Linked DNA regions of Oreochromis niloticus. The protein of the gene in region 2 purifies or fractionates together with the protein of the main gene of each other region. This does not show direct contact. Links are inferred from orthologs where the notes say so. Each region holds a gene or a part of one and is shown on either strand. Other genes may lie near its edges.

Evidence for each region.
Region 1: the proteins of rprd1b (region 2) and polr2g purify together in Homo sapiens (affinity purification with mass spectrometry; 3 studies listed by BioGRID and IntAct, counting the BioPlex papers as one, with this or other methods). This does not show direct contact. The link is inferred for Oreochromis niloticus from reciprocal best matches to the Homo sapiens genes RPRD1B and POLR2G.
Region 3: the proteins of rprd1b (region 2) and gpn1 purify together in Homo sapiens (affinity purification with mass spectrometry; 3 studies listed by BioGRID and IntAct, counting the BioPlex papers as one, with this or other methods). This does not show direct contact. The link is inferred for Oreochromis niloticus from reciprocal best matches to the Homo sapiens genes RPRD1B and GPN1.

What each region holds. Positions count from the first base shown.
Region 1 is NC_031966.2:22,184,061-22,187,812, forward strand, and holds the start of polr2g (DNA-directed RNA polymerase II subunit RPB7), read right to left. Parts: upstream 2,550-3,752; 5' UTR 2,424-2,549; intron 2,279-2,423; 5' UTR 2,083-2,278; coding exon 2,071-2,082; intron 1,806-2,070; coding exon 1,696-1,805; intron 1,551-1,695; coding exon 1,391-1,550; intron 287-1,390; coding exon 236-286; intron 129-235; coding exon 63-128; intron 1-62. Other genes in the region: uncharacterized protein si:ch211-175m2.5, read left to right, coding at 2,833-2,883, 2,972-3,145, 3,225-3,324. UniProt on the Homo sapiens protein: Core component of RNA polymerase II (Pol II), a DNA-dependent RNA polymerase which synthesizes mRNA precursors and many functional non-coding RNAs using the four ribonucleoside triphosphates as substrates.
Region 2 is NC_031984.2:24,341,845-24,345,596, reverse strand, and holds the start of rprd1b (regulation of nuclear pre-mRNA domain-containing protein 1B), read right to left. Parts: upstream 2,277-3,752; 5' UTR 1,872-2,276; intron 1,773-1,871; 5' UTR 1,700-1,772; coding exon 1,549-1,699; intron 596-1,548; coding exon 466-595; intron 129-465; coding exon 1-128. UniProt on the Homo sapiens protein: Interacts with phosphorylated C-terminal heptapeptide repeat domain (CTD) of the largest RNA polymerase II subunit POLR2A, and participates in dephosphorylation of the CTD by RPAP2. Transcriptional regulator which enhances expression of CCND1.
Region 3 is NC_031965.2:38,255,528-38,259,279, reverse strand, and holds the start of gpn1 (GPN-loop GTPase 1), read left to right. Parts: upstream 1-888; 5' UTR 889-928; coding exon 929-1,078; intron 1,079-1,789; coding exon 1,790-1,883; intron 1,884-2,107; coding exon 2,108-2,214; intron 2,215-2,301; coding exon 2,302-2,339; intron 2,340-3,752. UniProt on the Homo sapiens protein: Small GTPase required for proper nuclear import of RNA polymerase II (RNAPII). May act at an RNAP assembly step prior to nuclear import.

The DNA.
Region 1 (3,752 bases), on a different chromosome or scaffold from region 2:
ACATTTCTGTAACACTATTATTGTTTCAACTTAAGAAATGTTAAATAACAATGAAACAATACCTCATCAACTGTCTTATAACAGGGTGGATTAGAATTGGGGTCAAACTCCATTTCTGAGGGGATCGACTGCAAAAGAAATGTATCATGAGATTGAATTACAAACAACATGAATACTACAAAGTGCACTAAACGACAACTAATTAAACACAATTGTAAATATCTTGCTGACTCACGTGGCGAGAGATGAAGCAGGACATGGGACCTATTTCTGTGAACAAACCGACCTGTAAGAATTACAGACATATTTAGAAACATTTCAAAAGGAAGACAAAACACTATTCTTTTTCAGCAATTCATGACTTCATTTTTTAAAACTGGACACATTTAGTTTAACACTTTGGCTGTTAAAGTGATTCAGAAAATTCAGAAGTACATTTTTTTTTATATTTCTACATCTTATAGGATGGCTGGAATACAGGATATAGAGACAAGAGAAGGGAGAGGTGGTGGCAGGTTTTATGCCAAAGCATATCAATTCGATTTAAGTCCAGACTTTCACTATGCCACTCCAAAACTCTTATTTTAGCTTTTTAACCATCCAGAGGTGTACTTGTTTTGACTCATTGTCCTGCTGCATAATCCAAGTCACAGAGAGCCTCAATGCACAGACAGCTGAATGCATTTTTCCATTTGTAGTTAAACACTCTCAATGTTGTTCAGTGGAGTCCCAAAACCTTAGAAATGGCTTTGTAACTCTTCCCAGACTGACATGTGTCATTGACTTTGTTTCTCATCTGTTCTTGAGTTTCTTTAGTGTGTTGCTTTTTGAGATCTTTTAGCCTACATCACTTTGTCAGACCAGTCCTACTTCAATTCAATTCAGTTTTATTTATCTAGTGCCAAACCACAACCACAGCTGCCTCAAGGCGCTTTATATTGTAAGGTAAAAAACTAACAAACATGGAAATCCCCAACAAGTTAAGTGAGTTCTTGAGTCAACAGGTTTGACAGTGATCAGCCCTGGGTGTGGATAGTGAAACTGAACTCAACTTTCCAAAAAAAATAAAAAATTCCAAAATGATTAGTCATATTTAATGTAAGATTTAAAATGTAGCAGGAATTATTTTTCACACAGGGCCAACTAGGTTTTGGATAGCTTTTTTCCCCTTAATAAATGAATTCATTTAACACTGCATTTTGTATTTACTAAAGTTAAAACCCTCTCTCTGATATAATTTTTTTTTGATGATCATCAAATATGAAAAAAACAACAACAAAAAAAACAAACACAAACAAAAAACTAAGAAATCAGAAAGGGGGCAAAAACTTTCCTACAGCATGGTATGAACACTGTGTTAGGGCTTTAAGACTCTAAACCTGCCCCTCACCTTGTTAACCTGAGTGACCACTGCATCCACAACTTCTCCTTTAAACGGACGGAAGACAATGGCCTTGTATTTGACTGGATAGAGGACAAAACCTCTGCCTGGTTGGATTACGCCAGCTCCGATGTTGTCAATGGTGGTAACTGCAATGACGAAGCCATACCTGCAAGACAGAATTAAACAAATTATTTAAATTGCAAAACAACCTCCATCTGTGGCCCAGTTTTCCAGAAGCCAAAGGTCAAATTTCAACCTCTTTTTAGCCTTTGATTTAAAGTATTTTTAAGTCAAACACAAGAGTCACTCACTTGCCAGTGCAGGTCCCCTCGACCTCTGTGAAGAGCTTCTGCTTCACGGTGTTCAGCAGATTTGGACCAAAATATCTCGGATGTAGTAAGATTTCGTGCTCCAAAGAAATCTGTGAAAACAAGGCTTCTCTAAATTAGCTTGCCGTGGACAACGTCACTGCTCAAGCTATTCTGCTGCCGTTCAAAAACAAGAGAAAAAACACTGGTATCATCTCCACACAACTATAAAAGCGCAACAGTGATAACAGCTTTTAAGGGTATATGATAAAGTTTTACAAAGCTACAGTAGCTACAAGCACGCCAGCCAAACTCTTATCAACAACAGAACCAGACTGCTGTTAGCGATTATATACGGAGAGCAATACAAATACTTACATGGTAAAACATTTCGGTCTGTTTACGTTTAGTCCCAACTCAAAAATCGTTTTATTATATTTTCCAAAAGATGTTTTTTCGTGTATTGAATGAAAACCAGCCGCTCGTTTGTTCTTGACAAAGTCACTTCCGAGTCAGAGGACGATGTTGGGATATGGGATGTTGTTGCCCTCAGTTCTGTCTCTCAGGAGCGTGTCGCTTTTCTTTCCTAATTTTGGTAGACACGAAAGTCAGCTCTAATAATCACAAGTTAAGTTAAATAATAAATATTAATAACAATTTAAATACTTTATCTGCTTTATCTAAGAATCGCTTAATTAACTATTTAAACGACCCACAGAAATCAGGCTAACCTTTTCAATCCAGTCACAGACTGACCCCTGTCGGTGAGGAGGACTAGTGCGTGAGGGTGTGGACGTGCAGCAGGCGTGCCTCCATACTGGGTTTTGATTGGTTTGTTTTCCACGAGACTATTAACATCTGACATATAAACGAAGCAAAAACGAGTTATTTGCTAACACGGTAGCTAATTAATGGTCAACACTGCTTCAGTTATTGTGTAATGTGACGCACTGTGGAGTCGAATAGGTGACTGAAAGCTGGATAGGTAAATATCCCTGTTTAACTTAGCGACATTAGCTCTAACTTTGTGCCTCTTAAGGATTAGTCTGACTTCCTTAAAAACCTCTTCGCCTGGATACAGCAGTAGCTGACTGACGATCAGATTAATCTCACACCAGCCTCCAGTTTCTGCTGACTGACATGGCGAGTAACCTCGTCTCGAAGCTGTTCCGCCCTCCTCTGACACAGCTTGTAAGTTGTTCCATACTTTTCCACTTTGTAGGCTATCTCCAGCGCACTTTATGGGTGATTTTATGTGACTGCGCTGTCCTCCCTGCAGGTGTGTCTCCGTTCAGGTTGCTTGTTTCGGGGGAAGGGGGCGGCGGCAGCAGCGACGGGCACCAGATCTTCCTCCAGTGGCTCTCCACCAGAGAAAATCAGCCGATACCCAATTCCTTACAAGAAAGATCTGCCGTATGATATAGTGGAGCTTATGGAGGAAGTGGAATCAAAGGTTTACATATGAGGCGTTCAAGGTCTTTAAGTCTGCTGAACTTGATTCTGCTCCCCATTAAACCTGTGCTTCCTTACAGGGAGGATTTTTGCCCAATGTCTTTAAAGTGCTGTCTCACAGGCCGGCAGAGTTCAGAGCCTTCTTTGCATACTACAACGAACTGATGAACAAGGACACAGGTGTGCTTGTGTGCTGTATGTCTTTGTTTTAGCAGCAGGTGCGTTTTGTCTGAGATTCAATTGCATGGACAAACTCGGGGAGGTCCAGGGCCTTTCTGTGTGGTGTTTGGATCTTCTCTCCGGGTACTCCGGCTTCTAAGACACCCTTTTAGTGAGGTTAGGTTAATTGGTGAGTCTAAATTGGACAAAGTGTGGATAGATGGATGTTAGATTTCCTGACTCCATGTAGTCTAGACCTGTTTATTAATTCTTCCTTTCAGAAAAGGATTTCTAAAATTCAAAACCTCCATCGTTTGCAAAACTACACATGTAAATCCTGTCACATTCCAGGATATCTATAGCACTCTGGGTTGTGTTTGGTATGCAGGCTTAGCAGCTACCTTTAAAAAGAATGCATTATATTGCCTGGTATGAATGAATGTATCCAA
Region 2 (3,752 bases):
GCCTGGGACTGTTTGAGTCTTCTATGGCGAGTTTGAGCTGCTGGATGAAGTCGCTTCTGTAGAGGTTCCTCTCCTTCCAGATGTTCAACAGTCTTTCCATGTGCTTTTTACAGTTCTCGTCTGCATCACTGCAGGGCGACGAGAGGAACAACAGAGTTCAGCACACAATAAGGGAATAACAACTTGTTACATAAAAATTTAAAATTTAAAGACGTACAGGAAGGCTATAAAAAGATCAAAGCACATCCAGAGTTTTTATGACATGTATGACAAAAGATAATCGGGGCTGCAGAGGTCCAGATAGGATCTGCTGTGCTTAATAGAAAAGCATAGCAAAACCACAATTCAAACAAATTATTTCCCATGCATCTACTTCCCCACACAGACTCACACACATTTACTACATTCAGGAGAGTCTAATTTGGAGCTGACTCAGAGAACACGGTGGTCACCATTAAAATATACCTGGCAACATGGGAGCAGGCATCGACGAGCACAGACTCAAAGTCTTTGGTGAACTCGGGGCCTTTCTTCTTGCTGTTCTGGATGACATCATTAGCCAGATACAGGAATGTCAGCTTCCTGCTGCTTTTAGCTGCAAGATACATGAAAAATATCTCATTTAAAACATTAGCTTTAACAAAATTAACAAGGAAAATTCACAGAGTGATTATCAGTTTCTCACATTCAAATTATTTTGAGTTTGAGTTGCAGTTTGAGTTTTAATTGGCATATTTTCCCTTCATCATGCCCATCTCCTTTACTTACAGCATAAGAATTAGGAAAAATACACTGTTAGTCGCAATAAAACTTGATTTAGTAGCATTTCTATTCTTTCACACCAATGCAAGCTGACCATCTATAAGGTCTTAGGGCAGGGGTGTCAAACATAATTCCCACGGATCAGAATCAGCCTAGCACAGATTCCAATTCAGCCCACTGGACAGCTTTGGAAAATGTAGAAAGGTGCATAATATGTGGTTTATAGGTTTTCCTACTGAGAAAGACCTCCCCCATTACTGTTCATACTGCACCAAAGTAATTAAGCAACAGATAAACAATTAACTGAGAGAAAAATAGTTTTTTTTTCCACAATGCACTATAACAGTTTATGTTTTTTTACAATAGGTCCACAGTTTAAAAAAGGCTATTTTCTATTAACAAAAAAACAAACAAAAACAAAACAGTACAGGACAGACTGGGCTGTAAGATACCAGAAGTCATCCTACACATTTATTTCCTGAAACTAAGATAATGCCATGGATTAAATGCACAGTTAAACTTCTTTGCACTGACAGAAAGGGGCTTTGCAGTGTGCTGTACGTGGCTCACAGCGTAAAATGAGTTTACAGTCTGTGCCTATGTCATGGCTTAGAAAGAAATGCATGTATTAATGCATGTACAGTGTCCTTTACTTGTTTAAGTTACCAGCTCTCTCTTTGGCTGCAACATACAACACAAATGTGTGTATGTGTGTATGTGTGTGTGTGTGTGTGTGTGTGTGTGTGTGTGTGGGGGGGGGTTTCAGCGGGGGCAGTCAGATCTCACCTTTCTTCAGCTCTCTGTGCCACACTTTGACGATGAGGGCCGAGTGTTTGCGGTGGTGGATGATCCACAGAGACAGAGTCTGGACGCTCTGCTGCGAGCTGCTCAGCTCCGACAGCTTCTTCTCCAGGGCGGACTCAGAGAAGGACGACATGCCGGTGAGTGAGTGTGCGCTTCCCTTGTGACCGGACCGACTCCGACCAGCTCTAACGCGACTGAGCCCCGAGCTATTTTGGAGAGACCCGCACTGTCATCAAAACTGAAGTTGTGCTGCTAACTTACAGACAGGTAGCATCAAACTGCTTCCCGCTCCTCCCAAACGTTACCTTCCTCCCAGCTTCCTGAATTATCGACCAAATCCGCTAAAGCAAGCCTGCGATGAAGATGAGCTCCTTTATCAGCAGCTGCTTCTTCACTCACTCCAGTGTTTGTTTACAGCACCAGCTAACGTTAGCCAACCGAGCTAAGCAGCCATCTGCAGAGCAGTGCAGCCCTGTGCTAGCCTGCTCTCCAAACAGACCCTGAATACACAGAGCTTCTGTAACACGCCGGATTAATACGTGTCAACCCACCAGCATAAAAAACCCAACGACGAAGCGCTAACGGCGAAACTCACACTTTGGCTTTGGTCGCCTAACTCATCAAAAAGACTTCTTTCAAAAAATGGCAGCTTGCACTTTCACCTCGATGTTCGCGTCGCATGGTAGTGACGCAAACAGAACCGGGCATCATCATCATCATCTTTATCCGGGGATGAAGGCTATTTTGTTCATATCGCCACTGCTTAAATAACACAGAATTTTTTAAAGACACTCAGTATCATCTATACCTTCACGAGAATTTTGAGAAATATGTCTCAGTATTTTTGATGATTTAGAAAAAATATATATAAATTAGAACATGTAATAAGGCTATAAGGGGCACTGAAAGTAATTCACTAAAGTTGTGTATTTTTGTTTATTTTTTACTGCAGTTCAAATGCATTAAAACAGGCAATTTTACACTGTCAGATCAATATTTTGATTAGATTGATAGGCCAAAAACACGGGAAGAGGAGAACATGATTGGAGCTTTAGTTATAGGCCAAGCAGGCCATTGTTTTGTTATGTTATGTCCAAAATGCCTCTCTTCCACTTTGCAGTTTGACCGGCTGATCTTTTAAAAGCTGTAAGACCCGAACACTTCTGTTTTATTGCACCAGTTCAACACAAAGACATGACAAACAGTTGTTATATAGGACTATAGTTAAATGTCGTACTATTTTTTTCTTTGTGTACCAAATGATTAACCAAAACGTTGCCCAATTTCAGTCTATACTTAGCTGTTTGCAATTCACTTTATGTAATAATAAAGAAGCATAAGAGTACATTAATAATGGCTGCTTTACACGTTTTTGGAAGGCTGAGAGGAAGAATTACACAGAGAGGAGTCACGTTGGTAAAGGTCAGAGTCTTACTCATAAACCTTTTGCCATGAGTAGATTTTTCTTGTGCCCGTTCTCAAGCTATGATTGCTTTAACTTGGATCTATTACTCATGCAGCTCAGTTATTAAACTGACTGCAATATGTCATTAAAAGACGAAACAGAGAGAATTTATCCCACTTCCTGGCTCATATGGATATATTAACAAATACCTTTCTGTTAAAAGTCTGCATATTGTGTGCATGCCATCAAATCTTTGTGTTTGTACAGATATTTGAATTTACATGGCTATTTGACTGCATAATACAGCGGATAATAAAATGCACTGTATTCCTGTTAAAACAATGGTTTTTCCCTGGATCTAAGCAAATTACATGTTAGTACAACAGGTGTGTTTGACAAAATACGAGTCAAATATCAACCAAAATGCAAATTCTGGCACACCTGTACAGCCCTGCTTCATGAAGGATTTGCACGTTACAAAATAAGTGTAGCTTATAAGACTCACCAATAAAGGTCCTGTTACAGATTATCTTAAATTGATAGTGTAATATGTAATATTATATGCATTTGGAAAGTCAGTATTTGTTTTTTTATTTATTTGCTTTTAAAGCATCCTTGAGTGTTTTGAAAGAGCCCTATTAATAAAATGTATTACTATTGTTGTTGTTGTTATTATTATTATTATTGGCTTTTACATTTTCTAAAATGTCCTTCTGAGTAACAAAAACTAAAGCCACAGTTTTTTCAACTGGTGTTTCCTAAATGGTTGAATTCTCTGGAT
Region 3 (3,752 bases), on a different chromosome or scaffold from region 2:
TTTCTCATTCTTAACTTTGATTATTATATTGAATGGCTGGTGCTCTTGTCTGAGATAGACTGTGTTATCAGCTGATTAGTATGAGGCTTTTGCTTATGGATGGTGTATTGTACTTTTAATCTGCACTGAAGCTTTAATTACATGTATGCTCACATTTTTCATTTGCAATAAAATCACTGAAAAGGCTGGCTGTTTCACCTCGTTCACATTCATTCATGTGGCAAAATTTAAAATCTACACATTTAAAATCTGTTTTTATGCAAATGTTTATTACATTGAAGTTTTATCCACTGATGGAGGAGACACGACAGAGGTCTTATTGTGAAAATCATCCACCACACTTCTAGCAATTTTCATTTGACGAAGAATTGACTTCTTTTAGAGTTTTATTCAAGGAAAGTAAAATTTCAGAATATTTCTAGACTATAATGAGAAAAATAAGTATTTATTGGTTTGTAATTTTTTTTAAGGGACTGCTAGTGATACATGTGAAAATTCCAGTTAGGTATATTAAAATTAATTACTTAAAATATTTGCAAAACATAAAACTAGTAAAGTCAATATTCTTTTAAAATACGGAAATATATATAATATAGAAATGATTAGTTATTTATATACTGCGTTACTAATAAATTATAAACTACTAAAATGTACTAAAAGTAATGTTTCTAATCCACAAAACATAAGAAAAAAATACCTATTTTTTAAGACCCGTGAACAGCATAAATATTTTACTCTCTGCAGTCATGTGTTTTTTATTTATATTAATGTATCTGTAAAATATTCTAATAAAGTTTCCTTGTGTTTTCATCATGGTTTATTAAACACACTGCTGCCCTCTGGCTTTCGTTTTGAACACCGCGTTTCCATTTTACGACAGCGGCTGCGTGTGGACGGCAGCCGGTTACTATAATATCTCTCCAGCATCATGGCAGCGGCGGCGGAGTGTCCCGGCACTGATGCGGCTTTCCCGGAGACGGCAGGTGGCAGCGGGGTCCCGGGAGCTGCTGTCGGGGACAAACCCGTGTGTCTCATCGTGCTCGGCATGGCGGGCTCCGGGAAAACCACCTTCGTCCAGGTGAGTCCCGGTCCCTTAGCGGCTAACGCAGTTAGCAGCATGAGTTAGCTTCTTCAGAGAGACCGGAAGGTAAATAAACGAGCAGCGACAGGTACAGGTTTGTGAGCAGGTTTACATCAGAGGAGGAGGAAGAGCTTTTTTTTTTATTATTTAATTCCAGCTAAAACTCAAGTACCAACCAGCTTTCTGTGGCACACCGAGGACCACACGAAGCCCCCAAACTGCGCACAAACCCATTGGCATCAAATAAAATCAGTTTGATTTCAGTCAGGTAGGAGAGGCAGCAGAAGGTTAGTTATCCTGCAACATGAAACAGCCTTTAATAAAATAACTTAGAGAAAGCATAAAAGCTCAATAGAATATAAGTAAGGTCAGCATGGAATGGATTACATAGTATTAGCACATTTAAATAGAAAACAATAGAATATAGAGTAGAGTCAAACTTTACTAAATTGTATTTAGCCCAATAAATGTTAAAATAGCTTACTAAAGTCACTAAATTAAACCAATGACACCCTGTGACTGATGTTTGCTTCTCCTTCAGTCTGAGCTCAGAGATGAAGATTTTCTAAGCGGCTGATGTTAACATCTTCAGCTTCCCTCCTCTTCCTCAGAACATTTCCTCCGTATAAACAGTGTTTCCTGTTTGTCTGCCTGTTATGAAGTGAGCCGCAGTCACGAGTAATCTGAGTACTTTTCTGTTTCCTGCAGAGGCTGACGGCTCACCTGCATTCCCTCAAAGCTCCTCCATATGTCATCAACCTGGACCCCGCCGTCCACGAGGTCCCTTTCCCTGCAAACATTGGTAGGATCCATCTGTTTGTTGGATGCTACTTATTTAAACAAGAACTTAAAACTCAATGTGGGATGCTGGATTTGCAGAAGTGCGTTTAATCTTTGCATTACACATCACAGCGAAAGCAAATAACCTTCACGTGTTTTTGTGATTCAAACACAGCCGGAAAGACTTTTAGCTCCACGTCATCTTCAGCGTCTGTTAGTTTTCTCTGTCTGTCCTCTTGCTTTCAGACATCAGGGACACGGTGAACTACAAGGAGGTGATGAAGCAGTACGGCCTCGGACCCAACGGTGGCATCGTGACGTCACTCAACCTGTTCGCCACCCGTTTTGATCAGGTGACTCACAAATCTCAACATCTCGCGGTACGAATGTCCATACCAGACAAACCATTCGGATCCTGACTTTGTGTTTGTTTTCTTCAGGTGATGCAGTTCATCGAGAAGAAGCGACAGAATCACCGGTCAGTATGTAGCTGCTTATTTGCAGCTAAATGCAGTTAATGTTTTAAGGACTGTGAGGGACCCCAGCGGCTTCCTGTGTGTGGTTGTGATGCACAACACTCCAAAATATTAAAGGAACACCTTAAAACACAGCAGATCTCCATCCATCCATCCATCTTCATCCGCAGATCTCAATGAGGGTAATAGGTTAGGAATAATGGAAATTGAAATGATCCGCCTGCACTGGGCTAAAGTCAAACACACCCCAAAAATCAAAGTAAAAAAATCGATGCAGGCCCGTTTTGTTCAGATTTCATTGCAGGAGTTCAGAAATGATTCTCGGGAGTTTGAATCCCCCCCACGTGTTTATATGAATGCCTGACGGCGCCGGGGTGATGTCCTAAGATAAGATAAGATAACCTTTATTAGTCCCACACGTGGGAAATTTGTTTTGTCACAGCAGGAAGTGGACAGTGCAAAAGTTACGAAGCAAAAATTAGAATACAATAAGAATAAATACTGTACACAACTGTACATAATAGAATAAAATAAAATACTGTATACAGTAGAATAAGATAAAATAGAATAAAATATACAATAAGATAAAAATAGAATACAAATGCTATATACAACTGAGTAAAAATACAACGATGCCAGAAAAGATTATTGCACTTAGTGTTATTGCACATGTGTGGATGTGTGTGTTTGATCAGTTGAAGTCTTTGTTGTGGAGTCTGACAGCAGTGGGGAGGAAAGACCTGCGAAATCTCTCCATCCCACACCGTGGGTGCCGCAGCCACTGAAGGAGCTGCTCAGTGCTGTCACAGTCTCCTGCATGGGGTGGGAGATGTTGTCCAACAGGGATGACAGCTTAGCCACCATTCTCCTGTCACTCACCACCTCCACTGGGTCCAGAGGGCATCCTAGAACAGAGCTGGCCCTGCGGATCAGCCTGTTCAGTCTCTTCCTGTCCCCAGCAGAGATGCTGCCGCCCCAGCAGACCACACCATAGAAGATGGCTGAGGCCACCACAGAGTCATAGAAGGTCTTCAGGAGTGGGCCCTCCACTCCAAACGACCTGAGTCTCCGCAGCAGGTACAGCCTGCTCTGCCCTTTCCTGTAGAGGGCGTCTGAGTTATGAGTCCAGTCCAGTTTGTTGTTCAGATGAACACCAAGGTACCTGTAGCTGTCCACAGCCTCGATGTCCATACCTTGGATGTTCAGTGGTTGCAGTGGAGGATGTTTGTGCCTGCGGAAGTCTACCACCAGCTCCTTGGTTTTACTGGCATTGATCTGGAGGTAGTTCTGCTGGCACCAGTCCACAAAGTCCTGAGTCAGTCCTCTGTACTCCTTGTCGTCCCCATCAGTGATGAGGCCGACTATTGCAGAGTCATCAGAGAACTTCTGCAGGAAGCACTGGGTGGAGTTGTGGG